Oryctolagus cuniculus: one gene and its partner. The protein of the gene in region 1 purifies or fractionates together with the protein of each later gene. This does not show direct contact. Links are inferred from orthologs where the notes say so. Each region holds a gene or a part of one and is shown in the gene's direction. Other genes may lie near its edges.

What was found.
Region 2: the proteins of ARHGEF2 (region 1) and MARK2 purify together in Homo sapiens (affinity purification with western blotting; 3 studies listed by BioGRID and IntAct, with this or other methods). This does not show direct contact. The link is inferred for Oryctolagus cuniculus from reciprocal best matches to the Homo sapiens genes ARHGEF2 and MARK2.

Annotation. Positions count from the first base shown.
Region 1 is NC_091438.1:42,685,433-42,701,330, forward strand, and holds the start of ARHGEF2 (rho guanine nucleotide exchange factor 2), read left to right. Parts: upstream 1-2,847; 5' UTR 2,848-2,987; intron 2,988-10,318; exon of another isoform or gene 10,319-10,406; intron 10,407-11,023; exon of another isoform or gene 11,024-11,143; 5' UTR 11,144-11,164; coding exon 11,165-11,436; intron 11,437-12,134; exon of another isoform or gene 12,135-12,263; intron 12,264-12,779; coding exon 12,780-12,897; intron 12,898-15,898. UniProt on the Homo sapiens protein: Activates Rho-GTPases by promoting the exchange of GDP for GTP.
Region 2 is NC_091432.1:7,297,689-7,313,486, reverse strand, and holds part of MARK2 (serine/threonine-protein kinase MARK2), read left to right. Parts: intron 1-2,563; coding exon 2,564-2,743; intron 2,744-2,949; coding exon 2,950-3,003; intron 3,004-5,367; coding exon 5,368-5,416; intron 5,417-5,696; coding exon 5,697-5,762; intron 5,763-5,847; coding exon 5,848-5,918; intron 5,919-6,102; coding exon 6,103-6,159; intron 6,160-7,067; coding exon 7,068-7,304; intron 7,305-7,678; coding exon 7,679-7,798; intron 7,799-7,900; coding exon 7,901-8,000; intron 8,001-8,075; coding exon 8,076-8,188; intron 8,189-9,079; coding exon 9,080-9,212; intron 9,213-9,470; coding exon 9,471-9,649; intron 9,650-10,244; coding exon 10,245-10,342; intron 10,343-11,130; coding exon 11,131-11,292; intron 11,293-11,879; coding exon 11,880-12,137; intron 12,138-13,067; coding exon 13,068-13,094; intron 13,095-14,958; coding exon 14,959-15,003; intron 15,004-15,439; coding exon 15,440-15,798. UniProt on the Homo sapiens protein: Serine/threonine-protein kinase. Involved in cell polarity and microtubule dynamics regulation. Phosphorylates CRTC2/TORC2, DCX, HDAC7, KIF13B, MAP2, MAP4 and RAB11FIP2. Phosphorylates the microtubule-associated protein MAPT/TAU.

The DNA of each region.
Region 1 (15,898 bases):
AGGTTGGGCCCTAGAAAGACAGAGGCTTTTGCTGCAGCAGCAGTGGGGAGAAGCCGCTGTGAGCCGGCCCTGTCCGACCCAGGAATGCCGTGGTCCGGCCACAGCCTCCCGGCGGGAGGGAGACCCAACAAATGCCCGCTTTGTTCCTGCCACCGGGTTTCCCAGTTCAGACTCTGCTCCCCCAGCTCCCCTGCCCAACCGGTTTAACCTTTCCTTAGCCCAGCAGCGGGAGCCTCTGGGCCCCGAGACGATGAAAAGGACATGGAGACAACGGGAGGCTCCCGATGGAGTCGCCCTCCGCCAACTCACATCCCTCTTCCAGGGGCTGCAGCTTGGACGCCTCGGGACTGGCCAGGTCAGAGGGTGAGGAGGCGCATGTGCCCAGGAGAGTGGGGGCGGAAGGGTAGCGGGTGGAGAACAGGTGCAGGGAAGAGAAGAGAAGCCCGTAGGACCCGTTCACCTTGCCTCGGACTGTGGGATGTTAGTCTCGGGGCAGGAACACACCACGGTGCATCCGTGCAGGCTCCCCCGGAAATGTGACTCAGTGAACCCGAGGGAGTGGGGGTTCTGGCGTGGACAACAGGCTCCAAGTCCCAGTTCTGGAAGCTGACTGGTTTCTTCCTCCGTCTGAACCTGGGAGGGGCTCCTCCCCCGGAGGCCGGGGGGTCTTTACTGCACCCTTCTCTGCGGGACTCCGCTCCCTGCATCCTGGCCCCTGTTGAGGGGGAAGGATACCAGGAGGGGAGCCCAAGTGAGAAGAGCAGCATTGTGGAGGCAGTTCAAGAGAAAACCAGTTACTTCATCTCTCTGATCGGCATCCTTGGAGGCCGGGGTGGAATTCGAACCCCCCTTAAGTGCTGGTGGTGGAGAATATAAGAGCCTCTAAAATCTATAGACAGACAGGCTGCGCTGGAATCATTGGCTTCAGGATTGCACCCTGTTGACTTCTTGTAATTTAATAGGAGGAGTGGCACAGTCTCCCTGCGCATCTAAGTAGAAAGGCCCCTGGGGAGGCAGGGACCCTGGTCGCTGCTTGTGTGTAGATCTGTGAGGGGACAGGGAACGTCAGCCTGAGCCTGCTTCCTTTCCGGAGATTAAGGGCCCAAAGCCCAAACAGACTCCGCCCTGAAAGGCAACACAGATAGGAACCCAGCTGCCAGCAGGTGCCAGATGCCCTCCCACACCCTGGAGACCAGCCCTTGAGCCCTTCAGCTGGAATCGGCTCACACACGTGGGTGCACACGCACACACACACGCACACCCCATTACCACCACCACCACCACCACCCCCAGTACCAGGAGGAACCTGGTGCCTGGTTTCTGATCCCTTTACATACTAGGTTTTGGAACTCCACCTGAAGAAAGTAAACAGGACTCCACTAAAGGGAGCCGGGGGCAAGTCAGTGAAATTCAGCAAGGCTAAAACTCATGAGAGAGCAGCTCAGGGTGGCACTGGCCATGGGGGCCGGAGGGCCAGGTACAGCCCCAAGTCCACCAGTTGCACGGGCTGGGACCGCAGATAAATGACTCCCACTTGGAGAGCCTGGCCCGTGGTGAGCTTGTTTCACTGGAGGATTTCAGAGTCCCCCCCCTCCCCGGCCCCCGGCCCCCGCCCCCGCCCTGCCCCACTTGCCCCGCCCCAGCAGGGTGGGCAGGCGTCTCCCTGTGTTCTTAGGAAGTGAGAAGCATGGGCCCGGCCAGCTAGGAAAGGCTACACACGGTGGTCGCGCACCTGGCGGCAGCTGCCCTCTTCCTCTCACCTGGAATGCGAATTGGAGAGCAATGATCCACCGAGGATCACCTAGTTTAATCTCGTGTAACCGAGCCGAGGGACAGGGCGGAATGGTTTCTTCGAGCTAACCCCACAAGCTGCAGCCTGTGTATTCAATGCCGGCTACCATGGGCTGGCATTCCTGCGCCACCATCTACATGAGCTTACATGAGACCCGGGCTCTAACAGAGGTGGGAAGGAGACTAACTCCTCCAAGGCCCCGTAACCCGTGAGTCGGCAGAGCCAGCCAGGACCTGCCAGCTCCAGCGCGCACCTTCCACTACATCACTGGCCGGCAGAGGAGGGCTCCTGTTACCAGTTACCTCGCCCCGCTGGCTGTCCTCTGCCTGGGGGGAGCAGGGAGGGTGAGTCAGCGCCCCCACCCTGGGGAGCTGCTATCAGGGAAGTGGGGGGAGGCAGTTGGTCAAATACCCTGCAGGCCGACCGACTGTATCCACAACAAGCCGTGCGGAGTTGCTTGGTCACTCCAGTTCCTGTAGGCGAGGCCAGGCCTGGTCAGCTGTAGCTGCCCTCAGTGGCTCCTCCCTGAACTTTCATCACACGCAAAAAAAAAAAAAATCTTTCCTCCTGTCCTGCTGGAACCTGCCTCTTAAAGGGACCAACAAGCAGCTTTGAAGCTGAATTTGAGAGCGGATAAAGGACTTTGCTAACCCCATGAGGACCTGGCCGGTTAGCCTTCCATCCCCGGACTCTCCCCAAGAGGCCTCCTCCCCGCCCCAGCTTCTCCCTGGTCCCTGCTGCAGGGAAGGGGCAAGTGCCCTGGGATGTCAGCTTCCCACATTCCCTGCCCTCAGGATGACCCCACTTTGGCTTCCTGCACCTGTTTCCCTGGGACGAGCCTCCCAGAGCCTGTGGCCATCCTTTGTTCGGGGCCTGCTGAGGCTGGAGCGCTGGCACTGAAGGGGTTAAAGGCCCGTGCACAGCACTGTCCAGGGTGTTTGAAGTAGGGCGGGGAAGGGAAGGGCTAGCGGAGCTGAAGAGGCCACTGGTCTGCGCTGGAATGAGTGCCCTGTCTCCCATGCAAACTCCTGGACCATGAGCAGCTCCCTTCACAGGACCAAGAAAGAGGCCCCCCCATCAAGGTGCTGGACTGGAATCTTAAAGGGACCACTGGAAACAGGACTTGTCCCTGTAGTGAGGTCCCCACCTGAGGGCAGGAACAGGTGCCCCATCTTCGGGACTTCTCCCGGGTCCGGTGAGTTGCCTTCCTCTCTGTGCCGGGTCTTCCCCGGGAGCAGGTGTCTTCAGGAGCCCCTCTTCTCCACTCAGCCTGCTGCTCCCAGCTGCCTTGTTTGCTTAGGGTGTGTGTGTGTGTGTGTACACACTGTGTAAATAGGGAACCACAGCCATGGCCAGTGGTTAATTAACACAGCTTGTTTGGCAAATGATGCTAAACCCTTTATACACATTCATTCTTTATCCTCATAATCCTATGGGGTTGACATACCAGAATCCTTATAGTAAATGTATGGCTTAGAGAAGTTAAATAACTAACTGTGTCAGTTAAAAGTTGTAGGCCTGGGGTTCAGATTCAAGTTCATGGCATAGCAAAGTCCATTATGTTCTTTTTGGTCTTGTTTTCCCACACAGGAGGTGTAGACACTAAGGATGTCTCTGGAATCTTGAAAGCCTGACATCCTAATTCTCCCAGGGCTTCCTTCCTCTTATCCTGTCGTGGGTTCCTTTGATCCCTGGGGGCTAACTGGGGAATATAAAGAGCCACCAGCTCACACCTGAGAGCTAGGGCCTTACAGATTGTCATCCACCAGACTGGGGGTTCTCTGCTCCGCCCACTGCCTTGCTATTTTCTGGGAGCTAACAGGTTAATGCTTGGGCTAAGGTGGCCAAAGTCTTCTCAGGTGTGTCCCTTGAACCTCAGGCCCTCTTGCCCCACCCTCTGGCACAGCAGCCAGAACTCATGCCAAGAAACCGGCAGGAGGTTCGAGAGGAGTGGTTGGCCCGGCCCTCCTTCTTCCCTGTCCCCCATGTAGTACGGGCTAGGCTGGTCCCGAGCCCCGGTACAATCGGCAGACAGCTACAGGTCCTGCTGAAAGGAACAGGACAGAGTCCCTGGGTTTAGTTTAATAACCAAAACAAAGCAAAACAAAACAAAAAGCAGGTAATCAGACTTGGAAGCCCAAGGCAACAAAAATTCCTGGCTGACGTGTGAGGCCGGTTGATTTTATCATCGAGGTGGGGGTGATTTAGGGTGGATGTTTGAGATGCCTGATTGCTGACTTCCTAGACAGGGTGTGGTTGGGTTAGGGGGCTGGAGATGCTGACTGCCTGTCCCATGTGGAACACCCAGAATTGAGAACTGATAGTAAACTTGGTAGCTGCCCTGGGAGCAGGTGGATGGCTTTCAACCCAGAAGCTGATGTGGGAAGCGGCTTTCGCCTGCACTGGCCCCTGCCTGGATTTGCATGTAGAACCTCTGGTTCCTCTTTCTTCTGCCTCATACTTGGGAGATGCTGAAGTGATGTTTGCTGAATGAATGGGTCCCAGAGGGGAGCCTTTGCCTTCTTGTCATAGACCTGCATGTCAGAGAAGAGAATGGGTTCCAGGACCCCGGCGTTCCAGCTGGCGGGGGTGGGGGTGGGGGTGGGGGTGGCGGGAGGTGGCAGAAGCTCAGGCGCTGCTGCCGTGCACGGAGCTGTCCTGTGAGCAGGAGCGTGCAGGCACGGGGCCCCCAAGGGCCTTCTTTGCTGAGGCCAAGAGAAGCTCAGTGTTAGCTCTCTTCGGATTAATGGTTCACTTCCCAGGGGAGAAGCTACGGGAGGTTAAACGTTGAACCATCAAAGGCTTTCCTGTGACCCTGTGCTACCAGGGCCAGGAGCCCCGGAGGAGAAGCCAGCACACACGTCAGCTGGCCTCGGCCTTGCCGCCCAGGGCTTATGGGTCTTCTCCATTGTTGCCCACCCTCAGGAGGTTTAGGATCCAGCACAGGACACGGGACACGGGGTGGACACGAGACACAGTTGCAGGAAGCCCCTCAGGCTGCTAAGGAGCCGGCAGTGTTGCCGCGGGGCCAGCCCGCTGTTTGGTTGCTATCTGCAGTTCCTAGCCTCAGTAGTTGCTGGCAGCAAACATAACCGAGGGCCCTGCCTGCCCCATACCTCCTTCAGATTTCTAAGACAACAGAGGGAGTAGAATGGACAAATTTAACTTCTTTGGAACCTCCATCTAATTTCTTTTGGAAGCTGCTTCCTTTTTTTTTTTTTTTAAGATTTACTTATTTGAAAGAGTTACACAGAGAGAGATGGAGAGGAGAGACACACAGAGAGTTTCCATCTTCTGGTTTATTCACCAGATGTCCACTATGGCCAGGGCTAGGCCAGGGCAAAGCTGGGAGCCAGGAACTCAATCCAGGTCTCCTGCGGGTGGCAGGGACTCAATCACTTGAGCCATTGTGTGCCGCCTTCCAAGACGTGCAGAAGCGGGAGCCAGGGATCGGGAGCGGAGCTGGCACTCTGACAGGGGCTATGGACAGCCTGAGCACTAGGCCACATGCCCACTCCTGCTGGGGCTTCCGTGTGCCCGCCTCCCCGACACTGGCTGCAGAATGCTCTGTTGGGAACGCAAGGCTTGATGTCTCTCTCCTCCCCACTGAGATTTGGAGACCCAGTGGCTCTAGACCAGGAGCCTGCCAACTTTTTTGGTAAAGACCCAGATAATAAATATCTTGGGCTTTGCAGGCCATACGGTCCCTGTCGCGACTACCAGCTTTGCTGCTAAGGCAAAAACAGCCCAAGACAATATGTAAATGAATGAGTAAGGCTTTGTTCCAAAAAAACCCTTTATTTATAGACACAAAGTTTTTTAATTTTTTAAAAAAGATTTTATTTATTTGAGAAACAGAGTTATAGACAGAGAGAGGGAGAGAGAGAGAGGTCTTCTATCTGCTGGCTGCCTCCCCAAAAGGCCACAATAGCCAGAGTTGCATCAATCCAAGGCCAGGAGCCTGGAGCTTCTTCTGGGTCTCCCACATTGGTCCAGAGGCTCGAGCACTTGGGCTATCTTCCACTGCTTTCCCAGGCACATTAGCAGAGAGCTGGATCAGAAGTGGAACAGCCAGGACTTGAACCAGCGCCCATATAGAATGCCGGCACTGCAGGCGGCGGCTTAACCCACCACGCTGCAGCGCTGGCCCTAGACACAAAGTTTGATCTCATCTAATTTTCTGTGTTGTAAAGTATGATTTTTTTTCCCCAACCAGTTAAAAGAGATGGCAGGAAAGATGTGCCCCGCGGGTCATAGCGTCTGTGAACCCTGCTCTAAGTTACCAGAGACTGTTCTGTCCCCTCCTTTCTCTCCACAGAGGACAGCTGCTTCTTGCTGTGGGTACTCACTCATGATGACCGGTCTCCACCACAGTTGTGTCTGTCTTGGCCTGTGGGTTACTTATTCTCACTCTCAAAATAAGGAGCCGGTGCTGGGGCACAGCAGGTTAAGCTGCTGCCTGCAGTGCCGGCATCCCACATAGGTGCCCATTTGAGTCCCAGCTGCTCCACGTCCAATCCAGCTCCCTGCTAATGCGCCTGGGAAAGCAGTAGACGATGAGCCTAGTGCTTGGGCCCCTGAACCCACGTGGGAGACTCAAACGAGCCTCCTGGCTTCTGGCTTCGGCCTAGCTCAGCCCACGCTGTTGTGGCCATTTGGGGAGTGAACCAGCAGATGGAGGATCTCTCTCTCTCTCTCTCTCTCTCTCTCTCTCTCTCTCCCCTCCTCTCTCTGTAACTCTGCCTTTCAAACAAACAAACAAATCAATCTTTAAAAACAACAACAACAAAGAGATGAGATTTAACAAGGTGGCCTCAACCCCCTGCCAGAGATCTTCCCTCCTCCATCTCCTGACATCCCAGCTGGGGCCCCCACGGAGCGGCCTCCCCCTCCTTCCCTCCCACCAGTCTCTCCCTTGCCTTCCTCCCATCTTCCCCTGGCTCCCAAGCCGCAGGAAACCCTGCGAGGGTGCGGCCCGGGCTGGGTCTCACAAGCAGCTTTATTTAGCTCCTGAATGAGATCACATTTAATGTCACATCACTGCTTCCGCTGCTGAGAGATAGGAGGTTCCGAAATAGGTGTGGGACCAGATGCTCCCTGGAGATGGGGCTGGGGGTGGGGAAGGGGCTCTAGGAAGTCCCTTACTTGTCTTCCTGCTCTGTGTCCCATGGTTTCCCACCGTTACCGAGACCAGCAGTGTCTCGGGTCCCCTCCTCCAAGAGCTTAACCTTCGCCAAATGCACTGGTCAGCGGTACTTTCTTAGGCCTTCTACTGAGTCTTAGGAGAGCAACACAGGCTGGAGCAGCGGCTCACTAGGCTAATCCTCCGCCTTGCGGCGCCGGCACACCGGGTTCTAGCCCTGGTCGGGGTGCCGGATTCTGTCCCGGTCGCTCCTCTTCCAGGCCAGCTCTCTGCTATGGCCTGGGAGTGCAGTGGAGGATGGCCCAGGTGCTTGGGCCCTGCACCCCATGGGAGACCAGGAGAAGTACCTGGCTCCTGGCTTCGGATCAGCGCGGTGCGCCGGCTGCAGCAGCCACTGGGGGGATGAACCAACGGAAAAGGAAGACCTTTCTCTCTCTCTGTCTCTCACTGTCCACTCTGCCTGTCAAAAAAAAAAAAAAAAAAAAAAAAAGGCCGGCGCCGCGGCTCACTAGGCTAATCCTCCGCCTTGTGGCGCCGGCACACCAGGTTCTAGTCCCGGTCGGGGCGCCGGATTCTGTCCTGGTTGCCCCTCTTCCAGACCAGCTCTCTGCTGTGGCCAGGGAGTGCAGTGGAGGATGGCCCAAGTGCTTGGGCCCTGTACCCCATGGGAGACCAGGAAAAGCACCTGGCTCCTGGCTCCTGCCATCAGATCAGCACGGTGCGCCAGCCGCGGCGGCCATTGGAGGGTGAACCAACGGCAAAGGAAGACCTTTCTCTCTGTCTCTCTCTCTCACTGTCCACTCTGCCTGTCAAAAAAAAAAAAAAAAAAAAAAAAGAGCAACACAGGATTTTAACACCGGGAGACACCCATTGTTCAAAACTCGGAGACTGTAATTCCTTTAAGGTGGTGCAGGGCTTTGAAACGCGTCGTATCTGCGAGCTCCGCCACCTTCAAAAGCCACGTGACCTTGGGATGTTGCCCAACCTTCTTAAGCCTCAGCTTTGCCTGTGAAATCACAGGAATGATAACGCCTCCCTGGTGAGGATGTGGATGGACTTGCTGATAACTGATAACGTGTGCAATGCAAGTAGCCTTGCACTTGGCGCTCAGCAAACACTATTAGTATTGTTATTGTGGGCACATCGAGAGAGAGAAAAGGGCCCCAGATAGAAGCAGAAATAGGCATTACATGCAGGGCCTTCAAAAAATTCATGGAAAATTCATATTATTAAAAAAGTGCATGCATTTCAAAATGCACCAACTTATTTTTAATTCCATTTCCATGAACTTTTTATTTTAAAGATTTTACTTACTTATTTGAGAGGTGGAGTTACAGACAGTGAGAGGGAGAGACAGAGAGAAAGGTCTTCCTTCCGTTGGTTCACTCCCCAAATGGCCACAACTGCTGGAGCTATGCCGATCTGAAGCCAGGAGCCAGGAGCCTCTTCCGGTCTCCCACATGGGTGCAGGGGCCCAAGGACCTGGGCCATCTTCTACTGCTATCCCAGACCACAGCAGAGAGCTGGATTGGAAGAGAAGCAGACAGGGCTAGAACCGGCGCCCATGTGGGATGCCAGCGCCGCAGGCGGAGGATTGTGCCACAGCACCAGCACCTCCATGAACTTTTTAAAAACATTTTTATTGGCCAGCGCCGTGGCTCACTAGGCCTCCGCCTAGTGGCGCCGGCACACTGGGTTCTAGTCCCGGTTGGGGCGCCAGATTCTGTCCCGGTTGCCCCTCTTCCAGGCCAGCCCTCTGCTGTGGCCCAGGAGTGCAGTGGAGGATGGCCCAGGTGCTTGGGCCCTGCACCCCATGGGAGACCAGGAAAAGCACCTGGCTCCTGGCTCCTGGCTCCTGCCATTGGATCAGCGCGGTGCGCCGGCCGCAGCGCGCCGGCCGCGGTGGCCATTGGAGGGTGAACCAACGGCAAAGGAAGACCTTTCTCTCTGTCTCTCTCTCTCACTGTCCACTCTGCCTGTCAAAAAATTTTTTTTATTTATTTATTTTTTTAAAAAGATGTATTTATTTGAATGACAGAGTTACAGAGAGAAAACAACAAAAACAAAAAAAGAGGAAAAAATAAAAGAAATTAAAAAAAAAAAAAAGAGTTACAGATAGAGAAGGAGAGACAGAGAGAGATCTTCCTTCTGCTGGTTCACTCCCCAAATGGCCACAATGGCCAGGGCTCGACCAGCCTGAAGCCAGGAGCCAGGAGTTTTTTTCAGGTCTCCCATGTGGGTAGCAGGGGCCCAGGTACTTGGGCCATCCTCTGCTGCTTTCCCAGGCGCATTAGCAGGGAGCTGGATCGGAAGCAGAGCAGCCGGGACTAGAACTGGTGTCCATTTGGGATGCTGCATCACAGGCAATGGCTTAACCCGTGCTGGACCACCGCACCAGCCCCATAAGCCTTATCTTTTGAAGGAAAGAGTGTGAAGTGTTGGCATTACTGCATGTGGAACAGAGGTCAGAAAACAGGACGACGCTGAGTCGTCTTTACAGCGGGTGGAGCCGGTGAGTGGGATGACAGTGACGCAGGGAAAAGGCTGACCTTAGAGAGGAGCCCAGACTCCAGCTGGTCCTGCTGGATGGCCGAAGAGGGGCAGGAGACAGCACGGTGTGCAGGTCAGCGGTGGCGCTCGCCCTTCTTCCTGAGGCAGGGGCAGGAGGCACCGAGAAGCACCCGGCGTGCCCGAGTCCATCCTGCAGCACCGCAGGGGCCTTTCTGCTTCTCGGTGCTCCCAGGACACCAGAGCACGCGACACCCTGCCAGTGCCCCTGGGTCGCTGTCGTGTCCAGTGAGCATCTGCAGGTCCTGCTCTTCCCCTCCCCTGCCCCTCCCAGAGGATCTCCCCTGGGGGCTGGCCAAGGGGTTCCCTCTGCACCGCTCCCAGGAAGATGGGCATGGGTGGGCACAGGGCCTGGGCCAGTTTCCCAGGCCTCTCCTTTTGTCACCTCCGGTCCACCCCGAGGGCAGCGGCATGTGCCATCCTCAGGGGCCTGAGCGCCTCTCTCCCTTCCTCCCCACAGTCGCCCGAGGATGCCCAAGTACTCTCTCCCAGCAGCTCCAGATGGGGTGGGGCCAGGGGCCAGCGTGCGCTGAGAGGGGAAAGTAGGTGGAAGGGACAAGTCTCTGACAACCTGCACTTCCCGGCCGACGTGGGGAAAGCCTGGGAGGAGCAGACTGATTCATAGCTTCCTGGTCCTCCTGGGCACTCCTTACACTTTAGTAGCTGGGAGTGGTAGGGGAGACAGGGAGCCTGGTACCCTCATCCCGGCAGCCCCGGGCTGGAGAGCCTCGGCCCCCGGGGGTAGATGGGGGCCAGTGCCCAGAGGCGCACAGCAAATGCCACTTCCCTTCCTGCCTTTGCACCATCCAGGTGCTCCTGGCTCTTGCTGCTGCTTGCTGGAGTGGGCTTATCATTTGCAACTTCAACAGCCCCTGAGAGTTCTTAACGCTGAGATACACCGAGGTGAGCCCCGATGCCAACCAAACCGGGAGTGGAGTGCTGGCGGCAGTGAGGGCTGGGCCCCCCGGGGAGGGGGTGGGGCGATGGGGCTGATGCTTGGAGTCCTGCTCTCTGTGACATGGACATATGTCACACAGCTTTCCTGACTTCCCACAGGACCAGAGCTTACAAGGAAGAAATCATAACACCCTCTCCCTTCCTCCTCCCGAATCAGCCTAGAATCTTCCCCTTGGCCAAATCCGCGCCCTCCAGGCTGCTCTCCAAGACTGCCTGCCTCTTTCCACTTCCTTTCACAGTCTCTGCTGGCTCCGTGGGCAGCCCAGAGCCCTCTGTGGAGACTTCCACAGCACTCGGCATGCTGCAGCCGGGTCATCACTTTTCCCTGTGTACACACATAAGGATGCATATGAGTGTGTGCATGTGTGTGTGTGTTCACACCCATGTGCTCATACCCTAGACTGAACTCACTAAGGCCTGGAACAACACCTGCTGCCCTTGGCTTGCCTTTTTGCCACCAAGGTGCTTGTTCTGTTTGATCTAGGAAGGAGCCTGGACTGGGAGCCAGAAGACCCAGGGTCTAGATCTTTCTGGCCCTGAGCCAGCCCTGCTCCAATTCCGTGTCTCAGTGAAGTGAGGGGTGACGCAGGCGCTCCGGGGCCTGCCTGCCTGTGACATCCTGCTGGTTCCGAGCGCCCAGCGTTCCAGAACTCTGCTCACCATCACCTTTGTTCTCGGCACAGGCCGGCCTGAGCGTGCCTCCCATGAACAGAGCCGTCCCAGAAGTGTTCCTCGCAGATGGAGACGTGGGGCCCCAGGGCCACACTCGCCGCTCTCTGTCCGCAGTGGAATCCAGAGAGCAGCTGGAGGAAGAGGAGGAGGAAGAGGAAGAGGGCAAGGGAGGAAAGGAGCCGGAGACGAGGAATGTCTTCCATGAAGTGCCCCTCCGGCGGTCGGGGGCTTTCCGGGCCGATAGCCGTGGCTACGACCCCTTCAAAAGGCACAGCTGGGGGCCTGGCCAGGACCCACTGAGCAGGTAAGCCGCAGGGTCCCCTCTGTCCCTCCTTCCCTCAAGCCTAGGAAGTAATATTCCGGTGTCCTTGGCACCCCAACTATCTCCCTAGAGAGACGACCATCTTTTTAAGATCTATTTTATGTGTTTGAAAGATAGAGTTAGTGAGAGGGGGAAAAAAGGGGAGAGAGAGATCCTCTATGCACTGGTTAACTCCCCAAATGGCCACAATGGCTGGGGCAGGGCGGGGCTGAAGCCAGGAGCCTGGAACTCTGTCTGGGTCTCCCACATGGGTGCAGGGGCCCAAGCACTCGGGCCTCTTCCGCTGCTTTCCCAGGCACCTTAGCTGGGAGCTGGATCTGCACCTGCTGCGCCACAATGCTGGGCCCCCAGACAACCATCTCTGAAGCATGACACTAGTTGAGGAGACCTGGAGTCCGTGTCCTTCCAGGCCTCTTGTAGGCCCTTGGGGAGGCTGAGCCCCGCCTTCCAGACAGGTGTCTCCCCGGTGACCCTGGCCCCTCCCTTCGTTCCCGGTCAGATCCCTGCCAGTGTGCTGGGTCCCAGGCTGAGGCAGCCTCCAGTGCTGCAGCCGGGGGGTGGGGAGGACAGCTCTTCCGATACAGAGCTCTGCGCAGGCCAGCACACTTGGGGAGAGGGGCCCATCTCTCCCCCCGCCCCCTGGAAAGTCCCTGACCACTTCCCCAAAGACAGAGGAAGTCAGAAACAACATCCGGGGGTCGGTGTGAAGCGTTGGGTGTGAGTGGTCGCCACAGAGGCCTGCTAGCCATGGAAGAGCCCTGTTTTCCCACCTTGACCGGGGTCCCCTGGAACAAGTGCCTTTAGCTCTGGTGAGTGGCCCAGGCTTCTAGCTCCTGGGCAGGGCTGGCTGCAGAGTGACGGAGGAGGATGGGGGGGAGAGGGTACAGTGCCTGCAGAGATGTCCTGGGTACCCCCTTATGTGGTGCCAGCTGAGCCTTGGGTTTTTAAGGTGCTATCCATCTAGCCTTGGGAAGAGGGCAACAGGGGCTCTGAATGCACTGTTCAGCTGGGTAGGGCAAAGGTGAGCATCAGAAACCAGGCAAGGAATGAAAACACAGCTTGTCCCTCACCTCCCCATCCACACCGGCTTTCTTCTGGACTGCTGTACTGTCATTTGACCAGCAGGGGGCACCCTTGTCTGCAGCCAGTTCTGCAGCTCTTGCCAAGGCCTCAGGCGCCAGTTTGGGTCTGGGCTGTGCCTCGCCTGCCGACAGGAAGGGCTGGGCTGGGGGCAAGCGGCAGGGCTGGGCCGAGGCGGTGTTCCTCCCTGGTGCCCGTCACTGGCTGCTGGATACACAGGGCAGCGGTGGCAATGTGTGTTTCAGGAGGCGACTGCAGGCGTCGGGATGCCCAGGCCCCCAGGAGACCCCCTTACTGCAGAGCCAAGAGGATCTGGACGTCTTTCAGGGACTGCAGCACCAGGGTGGCCAGCCCTCCCGCCCGGTATGGACAGACAGATCCCCACGGAGGCCACCGCCTCACTCCCCTTCTCCTGCCCCGCGCCTGTCCCGCCGCTCTGTGCCTCTTCTGTTCTGCCAGCTGCGGGGTCTCTGTGTGCCCAGGCGCCACTCCGACCCCATCTGACCAGCTCTGAATCTGCCCTGTATGCCCCTCTGTCTGCCCACCCTCCCCACCCCGCGCCCCGGTCTGTAATGTAAGCTCCGTCCCTGTCTCTTGGTATCCAGCCTCTGTCCTTTCTCTAAGACATTCTGTGTCCATGTGGATGTGGGTACCTCTGTTCCTCTCATTAAAAGGCCCCTGTTCCCCTGGTTGGTATAACTGCTTCTTTCTGTGGGGCCCACGCTTCCCAGCTGAACTTAGCATTTGTGGGGTGACACTGGGCATCTGGCACCCTAAAAGACAGCAGTCCTTATCGCTTCTCGACCTTTTGGCTAAGATCAAGTGAAGACAGCAGTCCTCTAACAGTGACCACAGGAGGGCTGCGTGAGAAAGGAGAGAGACTTCCCAGCCTCTGGCTTCCCGGAACAGAACCGGGGAGTGAGGGTCTCAACCCGGATCCAAGGACACGGCGGGCACATGGTGACCCGAGACGCCCCACGGGATCTGCTAGCTGAGGGCCCCTGAGCTCAGGGAGATGCCTCAAGCCCAGGGGCTGGGGGCTGCCTCCCCTCTGCCCATGCTGTAGCTGGCCTGAGCGTCCAACCCCAGCCCCACTGGTGGGGCACCTGTGGCTTGGGAGAGAGAGGCTGAGGAGGGGGCGGAGAGCCTGGGAGGGAAGCGGCAAGAACCCATCTTACCACCACTCCCCCATCCCCCCACCCCCACCCTCACCCCCCCACCCCACCCCCACCGCCTGCCCTCTCCCTCCGCAAATCCGCAGTTTCCCCGGCCCCATTCCAGTGCAGTGTGGAAGAAAGAACAGGACTTTGGAGTCAGGCTGACCCCTAGATCCTTCTTTTATCAGCTGAGCGATTCATGTCATCTTTCTGAACATCAGAATGGTCAAACTAGCTTTCAAAAGTGTGATTGTTAGATGAGGAAAGGGTTGCAGTGCCTGGCGTGGAGGCTGGTGAATCCAGCGAATGGTCCCCCTTCTCCCGGCTTCGCTGTGCCTCACTGCACCTGCGGCTGCCTCCCCCCACCCCGCTGCGATGACACCTCTCCTTCCTTCCCTTTCTTCCCTCCAGCTTTCCCCCTCTTGTTAAGTCTCCCTGCTCTGATCACTCTCCTCACCTATTTTTTAAATTTTTATATATTTATTTATTTGAAACTCAGAGGAGAGAGAGAGAGAGAGAGAGAGAGAATTTCCCAACCAAGGGTTCACTCCCCAGATGGAGCCTGAAACTCAGTCTGGGTCTCCCAGAGACCTAAGCACCTGCTGCCTTGGAAGGTGCACGGTTAGCAGGAAGCTGGAGTCAGAAGCAGAGCGGAGCCTCCAACCCAGACATCCTGCAATGGGATGCGGGCATCTCAACCGCTGTGACGAACTCTCGCCCTATCTCCCCCTAATCTCTGAGCCCTCTGCTTGATCTCCTCGCCTGTTTTGTTTTCTCCTTCTTGCTTTCGTAGCAAGCGTGAGTAAGCACTCCAGCAAGGTCCACAGGCCAACAAAACTGAGACTCGTGACGCTGGACCAGGCCCCATAGAGTGACCTGTCCGGAGCCACGTCTGGCGCTAAACTTCATTTTGTTTGGCCGCTTGGGTGCTTCATTTTAAAAGTCTCTGTTGTTCTTCTATGGGACCTGTGCGCTCCCGTTTGCAAGAGTCGCTAATCATCGGCTGTGTTTGCCCCTTGTCTTTTTCATATAATATCTTAACACGAATGCCCAGGGCCTTGCAAACCAAAACCCTAAGGACCACAGAGGACACAGGAGGATCTTAGAGACCCCACGGGGCCTGCTAGCACAGAGGGCGGGCAGCTGGACACCACGGACAGATTTGCATTTATTTATCCACTCCTCCCTTGTCTTATTCCCACTCCTGCCCACCAGCATCCACCGTGGTCTTGAATTTTACCATGCAACCGTTTTAACACAAATATGTCTCCCGAATAATCTCTCTCTCTCTCTTATATTTTTTGTTTTTGAATTTTAAAACGATGATGCCACATTCTACAAAATTTTCTCTAACTTGTATGTTCTTCTGCCATGATTTTTAATTTAATGCGACAAATGGCTATGTTCCATTCACTTGCATTCCATCCTGCTGGTGGGGGATACTTGGAAGGTCTCCACTCTGCTATTCTGAAAGGCGCCCCTGTGAATCACCTGCACACTATCTCTCAGGGCGCATCTGCCAGAATGACCCCGAGGGGAATCTGTGCACTGTGCAAATGTGCAAACATCATTCTAAGGTATCGGCCACTTGTTTCTCAGCGCAGGAGAGCGGGGTCCCCACCCGCTTCCTCCTCTTGAGCAGCTAGCATCCTGGGACTTCTGCAGTTTGCCAGGAGACTGGTTATAAAACTCATTGTGCCCTTAATTTGAATTATCCTCATTACAAGCACAATTGAGCATCTTTTCATAGGTGTATTGGCCATTTGTGCTTCCTGGGCTGTGAAATTTCTGTTCATGTCTTTTGCCCACTTTTCATCAGGTTTTTAGGGTCTTTGTTTTCTTCTCTTTTTTACTATTATTCGTATGTTCTTTTATTTCAGAACTCATGATGTGACTTATTAATTTAATTTTTAAAAGGTTTATTTATTTATTTATTTATTTGAAAGGCAGGACAACAGAAAGAAATGGAGAGAGGGGAGAGAGACAGAGAGAGAGTTCTTCCATCTGCTGGTTCCTTGCCCAGATGGCTGCAACAGCCAGGGATGGACCAGGCCAAAGACAGGAACCAGTAGCTCTGGGTCTCCCAAATGGGTGGCAGGGGCCCAAGTATTTGTACTATTTTCCCCTATCTTTCCAGACGCTTTAGTAGGGAGCCGATCAAAAGTAGAGGTGCCAGGACTGGAAGATAGCTCTCTGTCTCTGACTCT
Region 2 (15,798 bases), on another chromosome or scaffold:
AAGTAAAGTAAATAAATCTTTAACAAAATGAAGTCGAGGGGGGCCTGGCCTTATGGTGCAACAGGTTAAGCTGCCACTTGAAGCACCAGTATCCCACATGGGAGTGGTTCTGACCACTATTCCCTTTCAGTCCAGCTCCCTGCTCATGCACTTGCAAATGTAGTGGGTGGTGACCCAAGTACTTTTAGATTCCTGTCACCCATGTGGGATACCCGGAAGTCACCATACTAAGAAAGAAATGGAGTGACAACTTGAACCTCATCATGCCTACATGTCCCAAGCAGCAGCTTAGCCACTGCCCCAAACACCTGCGCCTCAGGGTGCCCTTTAGGAGGTACCAGCAGGAACCAGGAATGCCCTTCTTTCCATGGAGTATGGACCCTTGAGATCCTTTGGGAGGGCAGGAGCAGGCATTTTAAGCTGTTTGTCTAACACACACTGTTGGGGGAGCAGCCAGGCTTAGGCGAGCTACAGGGAGTGTGGGGAAGAGGGCAGTGTGGACAGACAGCAGCAAGGGGACTCTGAGGAGGTGCAGAGGCGTGGAGGAGTGAGGGCTTGGCGGAAGAGACAGCTGGAGCCCCAAGGAAGTTAGGAGAGACTGTTCTGGGATGTCAGGAGCCTCCCCATCAGTCAGCCAGCTGCGGGGGTCACTTGTCCAGCAGTGGGCTTCTGGAGTCTGGGTCAGTCAGCTGACCGAGAAGTTGCCCACAGCCGTTGTGCCGAGGCCCCACGTGGGCACGGTGCAGAAGGGGAAGTTAGAGCAGTGTGCTCACGTGCTGTTTCTGTCGTTTGCAAAGCGTCTAGTTGGGCAAGCGAGCTTTTTGCCAAGGAACCCTGGACAGTTCCCTAGCAAGTCCGTCTTTTCTCCTGGCTTTTGAGGGCTTCGCTTATAGCCAGCAGGGATGACGAAAGGAGCTTTGACTCACACCCCTCTGGTCACACCGCAACCATCCAGACTGTCTCCCTAAACTTTCAGGGCAGCTCTGGATGGCCTGGGGCAAGGCTCTGGCAACAGGTTTGTCCCAGTGTGGCAAGCGACAGCGGCAGTGGCAAGGTGTTCTTCGAAAGAGGAAAACTGGATCTCGGGACAGGAGTTAGAGCAGACCCTCCTTTAGCACTGTATTGATACAATCCACGTAGCACCCAGTCCACCCATTCAGAGTGGACGTGGCGCTCACTTCGACAGCACACAGACTAAGATTGGAATGATGCTGGAAGATACGCATGGTCCCGTGCAAGTGACACACAGATGCATAAAAACGTTCCACGTTCTTAAGTAAATACATAAAAGTAGATTTGTTCTCTTGTAAAGAAACAAGCTGTGCAGTTGAGTGGCTTTTATTAAATTCATAGAGTTGTATAATCATCACTGTGCAACTTTAAAACATTCCCGTTACCCCAGAAAGAAACCCCACACCCCTTAGTTGTCACCGTCAGGTCTTCCTTACCCTTCTCTTCCCTGGACAGCCGCTGGTCTCCTCCCTGCCTGTAGATCTGCCTGTCCCAGACACTTCACGTCAAAGGAATCCTGCAGCATGTGTGGTCCCCGGTGGCCAGCCCAGAGCCTGCCCTGTCCTGGCACGTGGCCTTCACCGCCTTCACTGCCTCGGCTGCCGTGCCCTGTGTGTTTCTCCATTCGCTGGCTGATGGGCGTCTGGGTGCTGTGCACGGGACGTTGACACAGGCCGCTGTGTGACCGTGCTTGCAGCTCCTCTGCCGTCCACCTAGCAGTGGAATTGCTGCATCGTACAGTCACCCTGCCATGGGCACCATACAGAGTCTGTACAGCGCCTCAGACACACAGGTTCTTGTAAAAACGGATTTTAGGAAACAACTGTGCATGGATTTCAGTTTAGGGTGGTTTTGTTTTGTTTTGTTGTTTTGTTGTGGTATTTTTGCCAAGATAAACCTCCTCTTAATTCTCCTTTTCCATAAGCGTTTTGAAGTGTGGTTATAGTGTATTCCTGGACCACGTCCTTTTTTATGCTGTCTTGTACCTGTTCAGTGCCTGCTGTGATTTCTGCTTCCTCGCAGCCTTACTTGGGCTGTGGAGCATCCAAGGAGAGCAGAGCCGGGCAGACCACTGCCTTGACCAGCCAGTCGGGGCGTGGGTGGTCCATGGATGAGGGGCACAGGACGGCCCTCGTGGGCTGCCATGCTCCTTAGGAGACGTGACAAACACCTGTCAGGTGATGAACAGCAGACTGGTGTGACGGGCTGGGTGGCAGGAGGGCCCTGAGGCAGTTCTGGTCATGTCACGCCGGCAGCTTTACTGCAGGTGGCCGAGGAGCTGCTGGGCTATTGGCATCCACAGGGCATCCGTGGATCCAGGATGACACGCTCTGGGCCTCAGTTCTTGCACCACCGGCTCTCTGGAGAGAACACTGGCTGTCTTCTCGTCCCCTTCTGTCTTTTCCGCTGCCTCGTGATCCTTCACGTGCCTCCCAGCCCCTTGGAGTCTGCCCTAGCACCCTGGCCTCTTGCACTGTTCGCAGAGTGCTGAAGGCGAGGCGTGAGGGGCCTGGGGGGGCGGCGAGTACAGGAGTGTCTGTTTCCCCTGCAGCCCACCCTGGGACACCTGGATTCCAAGCCCAGCAGTAAGTCCAACATGCTGCGCGGCCGCAACTCGGCCCCCTCCGCTGACGAGCAGCCGCACATCGGCAACTACCGGCTCCTCAAGACCATCGGCAAGGGCAACTTCGCCAAGGTGAAGCTGGCCCGGCACATCCTGACTGGGAAGGAGGTGAGCGCTGAGGCGGGGACGTGGCGCGCCAGCAGGTCGTGGCGGGGCCAGGGCTGCAGCCACCTTTCAGGCCCACAAGGGCGCTAAAAGCGGTGAGATCAACAGGCACATAGAGGAGGAAGTAGCTTCGGGTCCTGGCTTTCACCTGCTCAAAGAGGTCATCTTGGTGTCTGTGTCTGTGCTTTTGTTTCTTGTCTAATGCTCAGGTAGCTGTGAAGATCATCGACAAGACTCAGCTGAACTCCTCCAGCCTCCAGAAAGTAAGCACCGGGCGGCCGCTGGCCCCTGGCAGACCTCCCTTCAGGGCTGGTGGCGTCCCCGTTCCATTTGGGCCTTCTCCTGACTCTCGAATTTGTTGTACCGTATGCTTGTCCACGCTTTTTCAAACTATATTTTAGAGCCCCTAGTGAAGACCTCTGGCTCCTCTTCTTCCCCAGCCTCTGCTCCCCCGGCTCTCCCACCTTGAGGCCTTGATTGGATCCCCCGGGGCGGCCCCTCCTGGGTGGGCGTCCTGGCCACAGACACTGACTCCGCAGGTTTTTCTGCTCCTTTTCAGCCACATGGCCCAGCTGTCTGACCTCCTGCCTGCATCTGGCTACCTTCTGGTCTGTGCCCAGCCCTACGCAAAAATACGTGTTTGCAGCCATTACTACAAATACATGCAGCTGCTCCAAGACCCGGAATGATTCCGGGGAGTGGCCCTAAAAGTGCAGGGAAGAGAAGAGGAAGCAGGGACCTGCCCCGACTCCTGTGCCAGCCACATTGTAGCCTAGAGTTGAGACGCTGAACTCTAATTTCCAGATTAAAGACAGGTCCTCCCAGTTTTCCTTTTTTACTTCCAGGCTCCTCGTGGCCAGAGGTCAGAATCATTTGCGTGTAGTTTTTGCTAGATGAGGATGAACTTCCCTTTCCTTTCCTTTCTTGTTGAACAGCCGGAAAGTGAGGTCCTACCTAGCTGGGGGGAGACCCCCAGCTGGGAACACAGCCCTCTGCCGGTGAAGTTGCAGCCTGGGAGGAGAGGGAAAGGAAAGGGAGACTTTGATTTGCAGAAGGGAGGTAGCCGGGCACTGACCGGGTGGTTGTGGAGCTGGAAGCTCTCTGTCCCGGGCCCCGGCTGCGGGGGACGGAGGCAGCTCCTGTGTGGCTTCAAAAGCCTACCCCACTCGGGGGCACTCACATTTCCCTGGTGCCTTCGTGGCCCGCTGACCCTGGCTTTCAGCCTCTGACCAAGACCCAGCTCTCGTCAGCGCGTGGCCAGTGCATTTTTCTTTGGGAGTCGAGGGGCGGAGGGCAAGGCTGTGAGCTGACAGATAGGTGATGCCAGGAGTTTGGGGCTGGAGCTGCCACTTGTTAATGAGGGAGGTGCTTATGAAATGAGAGTGGAGGGACAACCAGAGGCAAGGGGGTCCCTGTCTTTGTCGTCCCTGGGGCCCCTCAAGGTTTCCTGGATCCAGGGGAACCGCTGCTGTCATCACCAAGGCTTGCTTCCCTGCCTGGAGCTTTCCAGGAGGAAGGGGAAGAGGGCTGCCCTGAAAGTCTGGCTCTGACCCCACAGAAGTCCGGGCCCCCTGGGGTGGGCCGCCGGCTCCGTGGAGCTGCCTAGCGCGGCACGGCAGTGGTCGCCAGCCCTGCCTCCTTTGCTGCTTCCTTCTTGCTGACTGGCCAGAGGCACCAGCATCGGATACATACAACCCGCGCTGAACCAAGGCCATCCAACTCCGGCCAAAGCACTGTTTAACTCTCGCCCCGGCGAGGATCTCTAAAAGGTGTCTCTGAGGAAGTTAGCCCCTCTGGGTTCTAGAGGAACCCAGAAAACCCAGGGTCTCCCAGGCAATGCCCCCTGCAAGCCAAGGGGGCGCCCTGCAGCTCCTCTGGCCCGATTCGGTGCTGCGCCCTCACATGGTGTGCAGGACCTTCTGCCTCTTCATCCAGAGTAGCTGTGGAGCCGGGAAGGAAGCTGGAACCCAGGCTCCAGCGGGGGCTCCGGCAGGTGCGGCTGCTGGGCATAGGAACGCTGCTGCTGCCCTTCGTCCAGCTTACACGAGCTCCTGGACACCCTGAGGGGGAAACGTGGGTCCGCCCTTCCAGACGCTGTATCCCTCCCTTCTGCTGTTAGTGTGGGTGCGAGGCCTGGGAGTCACAGAAACCTCACCTTTCAGGTCTCTGGCCCCCGCCAAGGGAAAGGACTCATTTCTGTCATCTTTCTTCATGGAAATGTGTGGTTGGGAGCCCCTGATTTCTGTTTCACAAAGACAGCGTGAGTGTGTGGAGGTGGATTTGATTAAAATTGGCATCAGCTATATATAGGAGTGGCTCCTTCCTCACGGGCCCAGGAGAGAAAGGCCCAGTCCTTAGTACAGAGCGCTGTGCCTTGTGTGCATCATACAACGAGGGAAAACAAAAAACCATGATGGGGTCCCCTTTGGAACCCCCCACCCCAGACCAGGCTGGAGGCGCACGTTTCACCCCTGAGCTGGGCGGGCCCGCGCTCTGCCAGGCGCCAGCCTGCTTCCTTTCCTGTTTCCCCTTCTGCCCTCTTCCCTGCCTGCTTTGGTTCTGGGAAAGCAGCCTGGCAGGGCCCTGTGCAGCGGGGCAAGCCTGACCCCTGGTGTCTTGCTTTCCAGCTGTTCCGCGAAGTGAGAATTATGAAGGTTTTGAATCATCCCAACATAGGTGAGAACCAGCCGCACCTCCTCCTCCGGCCAGGCCCCACTTCCTCCCGGCGCGCGGGGCCCTCTGGAGTCCTGAGTTGCCAGGGATGCTTCCGGGGGAGCTCAGCTCGGAGGCAGCTGCATCTCTGGCCGACACTGAGCTGAGCTGAGTAGTTTGGCAGGGGTGAGAGGAGGTGGTCCTGGGGAGGGGGCCTCCGCCCCTCGGATGCCCTGTACGCCTCAGAGCTCAACACGGGCTCCTGCTGCTGCTCTGATGCAGCGCCTGGCCTTTTCTTTTGCAGTTAAATTATTTGAAGTGATTGAGACGGAGAAAACCCTCTATCTCGTCATGGAGTATGCTAGTGGCGGTAGGTGTGGAGCTGCGTCTTCCTGGTGGGTGCCCTCTCCCCCAGCCTTCCCAGCCCTGACCCGTCCCCACCCCGTCTCTCCCAGGAGAGGTGTTTGATTACCTGGTAGCTCACGGCCGGATGAAAGAAAAAGAGGCTCGAGCCAAGTTCCGCCAGGTGGGTGCGCCTCCCTCCGTGCTGTCACTGCCCCACCTCCCCTGCCCTCGGCATGGGGGGGGGGGCGGCTCCTGCTGGGCGCTTCGGTGTCGCGGTCTTCGCTCCATCGGGCCCCAGGCTGGGCGCTTCGGTGTCGCGGTCTTTGCTCCATCGGGCACCAGGCTGACCTTCTTCCTCCTTCCAGATAGTGTCTGCTGTGCAGTACTGTCACCAGAAGTTCATTGTCCACAGAGACCTGAAGGTGAGGTGCACGCTGCTTCCTGTGCCTCTGAGTGCAGGCTGGCTTGTCAGTAATGCTCAGGGCCCGAGAGTTGACGGGAACCCCCGCCAGTTATTCACACACACACACACACACAAATTTGTTTATTTGAAGGCAGGCTCCCATCACCGTTGTTCACTCCCCAAATGCCACAAGGCCAGGCTTGGGCCAAGCCAAAGCTGGGAGTTAACGTGTTCCAGGCTTCTCACTTGAGTGGCAGGGCCCAGGTACGGGAGCCATCGACTGCTGCCTCCCAGAGTGCGCGTTAACGAAAAGCTGGCATCAGGAACCAGAGCCAGGACTCAAAGCCAGGTGCTCGGACATGGGGTGGTGTCGGTGCCTCACCTGGCTGTAACAGTCAGACCAGTTGAGCAGGAAGTCCCTAGGAGTGCTTCTGATAGGAGCCTCGCAGCTGGGCTGGGGCTCCCACTCCAGTTGGCAGTGCAGGGCATGGCAGGGCCACCCAGGTTCTCCTGGTCTCCCGGCATCCTCGGGGCTGGCGAAGGGGAAGATGTAGCGTGTCCGTAGGTGCATCTCCTGCAGGCCCGCACATCCTCCTCTGTGGCTGAGGGCTTCCAGTTTGAGGCCGCCTGTGTTTCGTGACTGCCCCGCCCTTGCAGACATGACGTGGTTAACCTGGGCCTGGCGCAGAGGCTTCGCACACTGCTCAGGGCCCTGAGCCTGCAGATCCCAGCTCTGCTGCGGCTGCCTGAGTGAGGAGTGGCCTGCACGCCTTCCTCCTGCCCAGCCTGTTCTCGCTCATGGGAGCCCTGCCTGGAGTGGGCAGAGAGAAGATAACTTGCCGGTCATTTCCTTGTGTCCCTCAGCTCCTCCCTACGCAGCGCCTCAGTGTGGTGCACCCCCCTGATGTTCTCCCTCTTACCTCCCAGGCAGAAAACCTACTCTTGGATGCTGATATGAATATCAAGATTGCAGACTTTGGCTTTAGCAACGAGTTCACTTTTGGGAACAAGCTGGACACTTTCTGTGGCAGTCCCCCTTACGCTGCCCCAGAACTCTTCCAGGGCAAAAAATACGACGGACCCGAGGTGGACGTATGGAGCCTGGGGGTCATCCTGTACACACTGGTCAGCGGGTCCCTGCCTTTTGACGGACAGAACCTCAAGGTGGAGTGCAGTGCGAGCTTAGCACATGCTCACTACTTCGCATTTCCTCTTGGCCTCTGGTCTTCCCCGGACCCCTCACCTGTGCCTGTGTACATTTTTCCGAAGCCAGAGCTTCTGAGAAGGGTTTACTAAGGTGGTAGCAGTTACGGGCGCCTGACAGTTCCTTCCCGAGGGAAAGGGTACATTGCCTGGCGTTCCCTGGCCATGCCAGAGCGTCTTTGGCTCCTCTGCCTCTCTGTGCCAGCCTCTCTGCCTTCTACCAGCTTTTGTTGCTGGCAGCATGGCCAGTGTCACGCTCCCAGGGTCCTGGGTGGTGGGTTTCTTCCCTTGGCCTTGAGATGGGTGAACTTTGCTAATCCTGGGTGCTCCTACAGGAGCTGCGGGAGCGGGTGCTGAGAGGAAAATACCGAATTCCGTTCTACATGTCCACGGACTGTGAAAACCTGCTGAAGAAATTTCTCATTCTTAATCCCAGCAAGAGAGGCACTTTAGAGGTGAGCAGCCCGGAGGCCACTGGCTGGAGGTCCCGGGGTTCCCAGGGGAACCCCCAAGCTGAGTGTCCTCCCCCTGCCCTTTCTCCCTCCCTTTGCTCCCAGCAAATCATGAAAGACCGTTGGATGAACGTGGGTCACGAGGACGACGAGCTGAAGCCTTACGTGGAGCCCCTTCCTGACTACAAGGACCCCCGGCGGACAGGTGAGGCCGTGCTGGGCCGCGAGGCTGCGGCTACCGGGGGTCAGGAGCAGCCTTAACTGTGTGTCCCCCGTGCAGAGTTGATGGTGTCCATGGGCTACACACGGGAAGAGATCCAGGACTCGCTGGTGGGCCAGAAGTACAACGAGGTGATGGCCACCTACCTGCTCCTGGGCTACAAGAGCTCTGAGGTTAGTGCTCCCCGCCCTCTCCCTGACCCTGACCCGGCATCGGTAGCACCCCATGCTCTTAGCACCGGTCGGGAAGATGCGCCTCTCCAGTAGGTGTGCTCTCTGCTGGCCACCTCTAAGCGTCAGCTTTGCTGTCTGAGGCCCTCTGGCCTCTCACTGATCTCCTTCAGGGCTGGGTAAGAGCTGGTGGGCTTGGGGTTGGGCCCAGTCTGGGCTCCATGTGGGTGAGTTGATTCGCGTGGGCCAGACCCTCTGATTGGCAGTTCTGTGTCAGTCCGGGTGTCTGTGATTCTGTCTGTCGGATGGGTGCTGCTCTGGGTTTGGGGAGGTTTCTGTGTCTAACAGGACGCTGAAGCCTGTGTGTTGCTTCTGCCTGTGACTGTGTCTGGCTGTGTCTTGTCTGTCTGTGTGTTCGTCCTGTCTGCAGGTCTGGCAGCTCTGTGATTGTTCTTCTGCCCCTTTGGGCTTGGTCCAGCATCCATGTGTCCCCACCCTGCTGGTGGCCATGGTGGCCCCCGCTCTCGGTTCAGGCCCACATCGCTGTGTGTGGGCAAGGGGCAGCTCTGGGTCTGACGTGTGTTCTCCTGGGTGTTAGTGTCTCCCAGGGTTTGGGCATGTGTGTCTCTGTCAAGGATGGGAGTCTTTCTGGGTGCTGTCCTTGGCTGTGTCTGTCTGTTGTCAGGTTCTGTGCCAGGGCACAGGTGTCTCTGGGATGGAGGAGGTATGGGTAGGTACTGGTTGGTCTTGTGAGTGACGTCCCATGGGAGCCTGGGCTGTGTGTGTGTGTGTGTGTGTGTGCTGGACTAGGGTGGGACGTGAACATGAGTCCACCCAGGAAGATCACCACAAGCCCTCTGCCCACCCTTGAAGCCATGTTCTCTGTGCTTGCAGCTGGAAGGTGACACCATCACCTTGAAGCCCCGGCCTTCGGCTGATCTGACCAATAGCAGTGCCCCCTCCCCCTCCCACAAGGTACAGCGCAGTGTCTCGGCCAACCCCAAGCAGCGGCGCTTCAGTGACCAGGGTAAGCACCTTGGGGCTGGTAAGTAGGACTCGCCCTCTGCAGCAAAGGCTGTACTCCCGCAGGTTTAGAGGCACACGGCTGAGCCTCTGTACCAGCTTAGCCACTTGGGAGCACGGCTGTGGGCAAGTCCCTCAGCCTTCCTCAGCCCCTGTGAAGTGGGGAGGCAGAGCTGCCCGCAGGCACAGGGGAGCCCTGCAAGCGGACCGGCACTCCGCACTCCGCCTCACCCACCCACCCCCGGTCCCTCTGGTCCTGCAGCTGGTCCTGCCATTCCCACCTCCAATTCCTACTCCAAGAAGACTCAGAGCAACAATGCCGAGAATAAGAGGCCTGAGGAAGACCGGGAGCCAGGGCGGAAGGCCAGCAGCACAGCCAAAGTGCCTGCCAGCCCCCTGCCCGGCCTGGAGAGGAAGAAGACCACCCCCACCCCCTCCACGGTGAGCCACGCCCATCAGCCCCAGGCCCCCCTTCCTGTCCTCCCCACTGCCTCCCCTCCCCAAGCAGCTCTTTTCTTTATTTGTTTTTGGTTTTTTGTTTGTTTGTTTGTTTTTAAAGATTTATTTATTTGAAAGGCAGAGTGGCAGAGAGAGAGGGAGAGACGGAGATTTTTCATCTGCTGGTTCACTCCCCAAATGGCTGCAACGGCTGGGGCTGGGCCAGGCCAAAGCCAGGAGCCTGGAACTGCATCCAGGTTTCCCACGTGGGTGGCGGGGGCCTCAGTACGTGAGCCATCCTTTGCTGCTTTCCCCAGCGGACCAGCAAGGAGCTGGACCGGGACTTGAACTGGCACTCCAATATGGGATGCCGGTGCCACAGACTGCGGCTTAATGTACCGTGCCACAGTCCTCACCCCTAGCAGCTCTTGAATCCAAGACCTCATCCCTTTGGTGGCCACTTTTGCTCACTGTAGAAAGCGCAGCCCCAAGAGGGGAGCAGAGTCCCATCTGACCGTGGCGCCTGCCAGAGGCGAAGGTGGCGGGGAGCCCTGCATGAGCCTGACTGTAGAGCAGCTCTTCCCTTCGTTCCCCACAGAACAGCGTCCTCTCCGCCAGCACAAATCGAAGCAGGAACTCCCCGCTTTTGGAGAGGGCTAGCCTCGGCCAGGCCTCCATCCAGAACGGCAAAGACAGGTGAGCTGCCTGGGCCTGCCCGCCACGCTCCTCGGCAGCCCCTCTCCGGCGGTGAAGTTTGTCAGCAGCGTCGTCTCCGCCCCCGCCCGAGCGTTGCCCCCGCTCCCTGGAGTCCTGTCCTGGCTCTGTTCCGTCTGGCTGTCCACCTTCCCTGCCCTGCTCCACGCCATCTCCTCCCCTTCCTCCTCCGACCGCTCCTCGTAGTTTACCGAGTGGGGGCTCCCAGTGGTCATCTCCACAGTCTTTGTGCTTCTTGACGGCAGCCGGGGCGTGGCTGCTGCCCACTCCATGCGTCAGCGCCTGAGGCTTTGTCTTTGGGGCTCCAGACCAGGGCAGAACCAAGAGACAGCCCATCTCAGGGGTGTACCCGTTGAGGGTGGCTGCAGCGTGCCCCTGACCTTGACCGTGTGCATTTCTTGTGTGCTGGGCGCCCCCTCTTCTGCGCCTGTTGACAGTTCTTAGCAACACTGCACTCCTCCTGTAGAAGAGACACCTGGACCTTAGACTCCCTAGGAGACCAAGGCAGCCGGAGGCAGTGCTTCCTGTCACCTCTCCTTCCAGTTCCTCTTCCCAGGCTCTGGCCTCCCTCGCCGCTTCCTCCCCTTCCCTCCACGCCCCACCTGCACGATCCTCAAATCTGACTGACGCCCCTTCACTGCTCCCCGGGCCTGACCCGTACCCCACTGCCATCCCCAGCTCTGGCCCTTCCCTGCCCTTGCTTCCTAATCCGGGCGTTCAGCCCTCGCCCACCCCCTAACCCAGGCCTCTTCGCTGCTTTTGTCTCCTAGCCTAACCATGCCAGGGTCCCGGGCCTCCACGGCTTCTGCTTCTGCCGCAGTCTCTGCGGCCCGGCCCCGCCAGCACCAGAAATCCATGTCGGCCTCCGTGCACCCCAACAAGGCCTCTGGGCTGCCCCCCACGGAGAGTAACTGTGAGGTGCCGCGGCCCAGGCAAGTGTGCTGGGGCAGCTGGTGCACCTGCTGCCCTCCCCCTGCCCCCAGCAACTTCCTTCCGGGGGGGCCTGCTCTCTTCTTGTCCTCTTAGCCACAGGGCCCGGCTCTGGCCCCCGCAGCCAGGAAGTGGAAGGCACAGAAAAGAGCATCCGTGTCCCTCTTGCGCGGGTCTCCCCTCAGCACAGTTGTGCGGGAAGCAGGCCTGCGGCTCCGAGGGAGGCTGCTTTGTTCTGAGCCTGCCTGGGCTTCCTCAGGGACCCGGGGATGGTCAGCATCCTGGGGGCGTCCTGAGGGTTGGTCCCCACTGTCCCCTTGAGAGTTGAGGGAGCCAGCTCTGCAGCCTGCGCTGCTCTGCACACACGGGTCATTCCCTGCCCCCCCCCCGCCCCCGTCCTTCGTCTTCCTCCTCCGGGAGCCTTCCTCCCTGCCGCCGTCCTCAGTGGTCACACCCTTCCTTCTGTGTCCTCCGTGATGGCTGCCTCTGCCGTAGCACCCCCGCCCCACCACGGGGCGCTGCAGGTGCCCAGTGGCGAACGGCTGTCCTGTGCCCTGATGTGTTCCCCTTACCCCGACTCTCCCCACAGCACAGCCCCCCAGCGTGTCCCTGTCGCCTCCCCCTCCGCCCACAACATCAGCAGCAGTGGTGGAGCCCCAGACCGAACGAATTTCCCCCGGGGTGTGTCCAGTCGAAGCACCTTCCATGCTGGGCAGCTCCGGCAAGTGCGGGACCAGCAGAATTTGCCCTACGGTGTGACCCCAGCTTCTCCCTCTGGCCACAGCCAGGGCCGGCGGGGGGCCTCTGGGAGCATCTTCAGCAAGTTCACCTCCAAGTTTGTACGCAGGTGAGCAGGGAGCGCAGGGTGGCAGAGAGGCTGAGGCCAGGCCTTCCTGTTTGCTCAGGGGTGGGGATGCCTAGAGCTGGGCTTGGGTCCTGGGGTTAAAAGAGGCCCCGTGAAGTCTAGGAAATGGGGTCGTTGTCAACGCCTTGTGTGCCCAGGCCCGTCCTCTTAGGTCTCTCCCCAACTCCCCATAGGCACCCCTCATTCTCTGGCCCCAGCAGATGGCCCATGCCGCCTCCTCTCCAGGAGAGTGTGAACTCAGATGCTAAAATAAAAGCCCCCTCTTCTCTCCTGGGTTCCCATGGAAACTTATATTTGGTGACGCAGCTGCAAAGTCATGAGGCCTAAGCCAGGCTGGGCCAGGGAGGAAATTTTTCCTGGTCTCTCATCTGGCCCCCTTTGACCCCCTCTCCCCGCCTCCACAATTGCTCGTGTCTGACTCCAGTCACTCCCCTCCACTGCAGCCAGTTCTTCAGGGGCTCCCGGGAGGGAGGCCCTAAATGAAACAGCCTGTGGGACCTGTGGGAGCCTCCCCGCCCCCAGCCCCAAAGCTGATGAGGCCTTCCTGTGTTGGGTCCCGGTGGGGGTCTCGTCAGGGAATGTCTCACATCGTGAGTCCCCAGTCACCAGAGGCACACCTTGAGGTGCGTCCAGCCAGCTGGCCTCCTGGGTGCCCCGTGTCCCCCCTGGACTGGCAGTTCTGGAAGGCCAGGGGCTGTGAGAGAGCAGGCTTGCCTGCCGCTCCTGCCTGCCTCGTGTCAGGGCGCAGACCTGGAAGTCTGGGACTCTAGTCTCGCTGAGCGGCTCTTCCAAAACTGGGGGCGACCTTTGAACCTGTAAAGCCCACTCCCCACCTGCTTATCCACACACCGTCTTGTTGGGTTTTTTTTATTTCTTTTTTTATTTTGTCTTTTTTTTGTTTGTTTTTTTTAGAAATCTGTCTTTCAGGTTTGCCAGAAGGTAGGCGTTGAGCCCGCTGTGTGTGTGTGTGTCCCGTGTCCTGCTCCATCACTAACTCCCCTTTTCTGGTTCTGGCTCGTGGCCATCTGCTAACGTGTCTGTGTGGTCCTCCTCTGCCATCTTAAAGGGACGAAGCCTGGTGTGGCCGCGGGTCAGCACCAAGCCTGCCCTCAGACAGTGGGCTCTGAGCACATGGCCCTCGGGGCGAATGGCTTTGAAAGGGAGGGCCCTTCCTCAGACACCGTGGTGCTGTCTTCAAGCCAGGGAGACCTCCTCGGGGATTCTCCCTTTAAGATTGTCTCCCCTCACCCCGCCCCCAGGTTTGGGTCACAGCACTGGGTTCCCCCTGGCCCTTCCCCTGCCATGTGCATGCGCTACGAGGAGGCTGCACCGGGTTACAAGTGCATCTGGGACGGTCTCTCGTTCGGGGTCTCCTGGGCTTCCTGAACTTGAGGGCTGTGTGGCTTCTTCCCCCTGGCCTCTGGGATGGAAAGGCTGGGGCGGGAGCGACTGCGGGTTCCCCAGCTTGGGTCTGACTCCTCCAGGCCTGCCCAGGGAGCCTTGACTTCACAAGTGGGGCACAGCACCCCCTTCTGGCAGCTCTGCAGAAGCAGCCCCCCCCCCAACCTGGCCGACACAGGGGCCGGCCGCAGCACCAGCACCGCGGTGACTGGAACCTCTCCTGCTGGCCGTTTTCCCTGGATGCGGCCTTCAGCTCTAGGGCAGGGGCCACTCCTCGCCTGGTCACGCCTGGTCACGGCAAGACGGGGAGAACGGCACCCTCACTGAGGCTCCGCCCTTCCTGGCCCTTCAGCCCGGCCTTCTCCTCATCCTCTCTGCAGGCCTGGGTGGGCCCAATGCCAAGTTGCAGGTGGAAGGTGGCTCGGGACCCTGGTTCCCCAGGTGTCAGCCTGGCCCCGCTCTGGGGCTGGGGCGCCCAGAAGGCACATGGGTGCCCCAGCTGGTGGAGAAACCAGACAGGATCTTCAGGCTTTCCCCACTCTCCGCTCCGTGCCCCCCAGCCCTCCACTGCATGGCTGGTGCTTGTGCCATGGGGCCACGATGGGGGCTTGCCCTGCTGGAGGCCCAGGGAGAGCTGCCAGGGCCCCTTCCCCTGCACCGCCGGGCTCCCCGCTCGCAGTGCACTTGTTGGCATCGTGTGTGTCTCTCGTGTTTCTGTGTCCCTTTTACATGTGCTGCTGCCGTCCTCTCCCCCTTCCGCATTCCCCGATTTCCCGGCTCCCAGCACCCATCTTGCAGTCAGGAGCTGGAGAAGCCGCTCAGCGGGGCCAGACCTCTCCCCCTGCCCCGTCCTCCTCCTGCAGGCAGGCGGCCCGGCCGCTGGGGAGTCACAGCCACGCGGCAGCCGGCACCCACCCCCAGGCCTCCTCCATACACCTCCAGGCCTTGGCACTGGAAGCCTCCTGAGAGGCTTCCATGTCCCCGAGACCCCCGCTCTCCCAGAGTTGGAAACGTTGCAGTCCAAGACCCCCGTGTGTTGGCACGAACGCTCACGTGAGCGCTGGCTGGGGCCAGTGGGGAGCCCGCCTCATGCTGCACCCAGCGCCTTTGCTCTGGGTGCCCCGTGGACCCCGCCCCAGCAGAGGCTCCTCCTCCCCAGCCCACTGCTCTGGAGTGTGGGAGGGGCAGGCTATGCTGGGCTCCCTCCTGGAAAGGGACTGTCAGGCTGCCAGTGGGAGGTGCTGCAGAGCCTTGTTGGCCCGCAGATGTGGCCAGGTGGCCTTTGGCTCAGGTCCTGCCCACCGGCGGGCAGCACCTTCCCAGACCCACCCTCACCTGGGTCTGTGGTGGTGGAAGGAGCGAGAGACCCAGCACTAAACTCTCCCTCGCTCTGTTTTTTGAGGAACCTGAATGAACCTGAAAGCAAAGACCGAGTGGAGACGCTCAGGTGAGAGGGCCGGAGCCAGCACTGGCCCTGCCCGGGCCACTGGGCTTGCCACAAGCCTCCTGTCCGTCTCTTCCTCTGCCACCCGGCTCTTCCTCCGGTGGCTCTGCCCTGTCTCCACCCTCTCCGGGCCTCCCTTTCCCGAGCCCCGCTACATTAGGTCTGGAAATTGGAGCCCTGGGGTGGGCCGTGGGGGCAGCAGATGAGTGCCCTCGGCGCCGCTGCTTCCGGGAGGCAGTGCCCAGCGCCCCTTCCCTGGCTCTCCTGGTCCAGCGAAGTCCTGCGCCCCTCAGCCAGGGTCTCGGGGCTCCCTCTTCCGGCTCGTGCGCCTGCGCTGCTCCCCCCGCTGTTCTCTGGGCCAGGGTCTGCCCGCCAGGGTGGCTCTCCCGTGGGTGGGGTGCCTCGGCCGCCCGCCTCACACGGCCCCTGCTCCCCGCAGACCTCACATGGTGGGCGGCGGCGGCAACGACAAGGACAAGGAGGAGTTCCGGGAGGCCAAGCCGCGCTCGCTGCGCTTCACGTGGAGCATGAAGACCACGAGCTCCATGGAGCCCAACGAGATGATGCGGGAGATCCGCAAGGTGCTGGACGCCAACAGCTGCCAGAGCGAGCTGCACGAGAAGTACATGCTGCTGTGCGTGCACGGCGCGCCGGGCCACGAGGACTTCGTGCAGTGGGAGATGGAGGTGTGCAAACTGCCGCGGCTCTCGCTCAACGGGGTCCGCTTCAAGCGGATATCGGGCACCTCCATGGCCTTCAAAAACATTGCCTCTAAAATAGCCAACGAGCTGAAGCTTT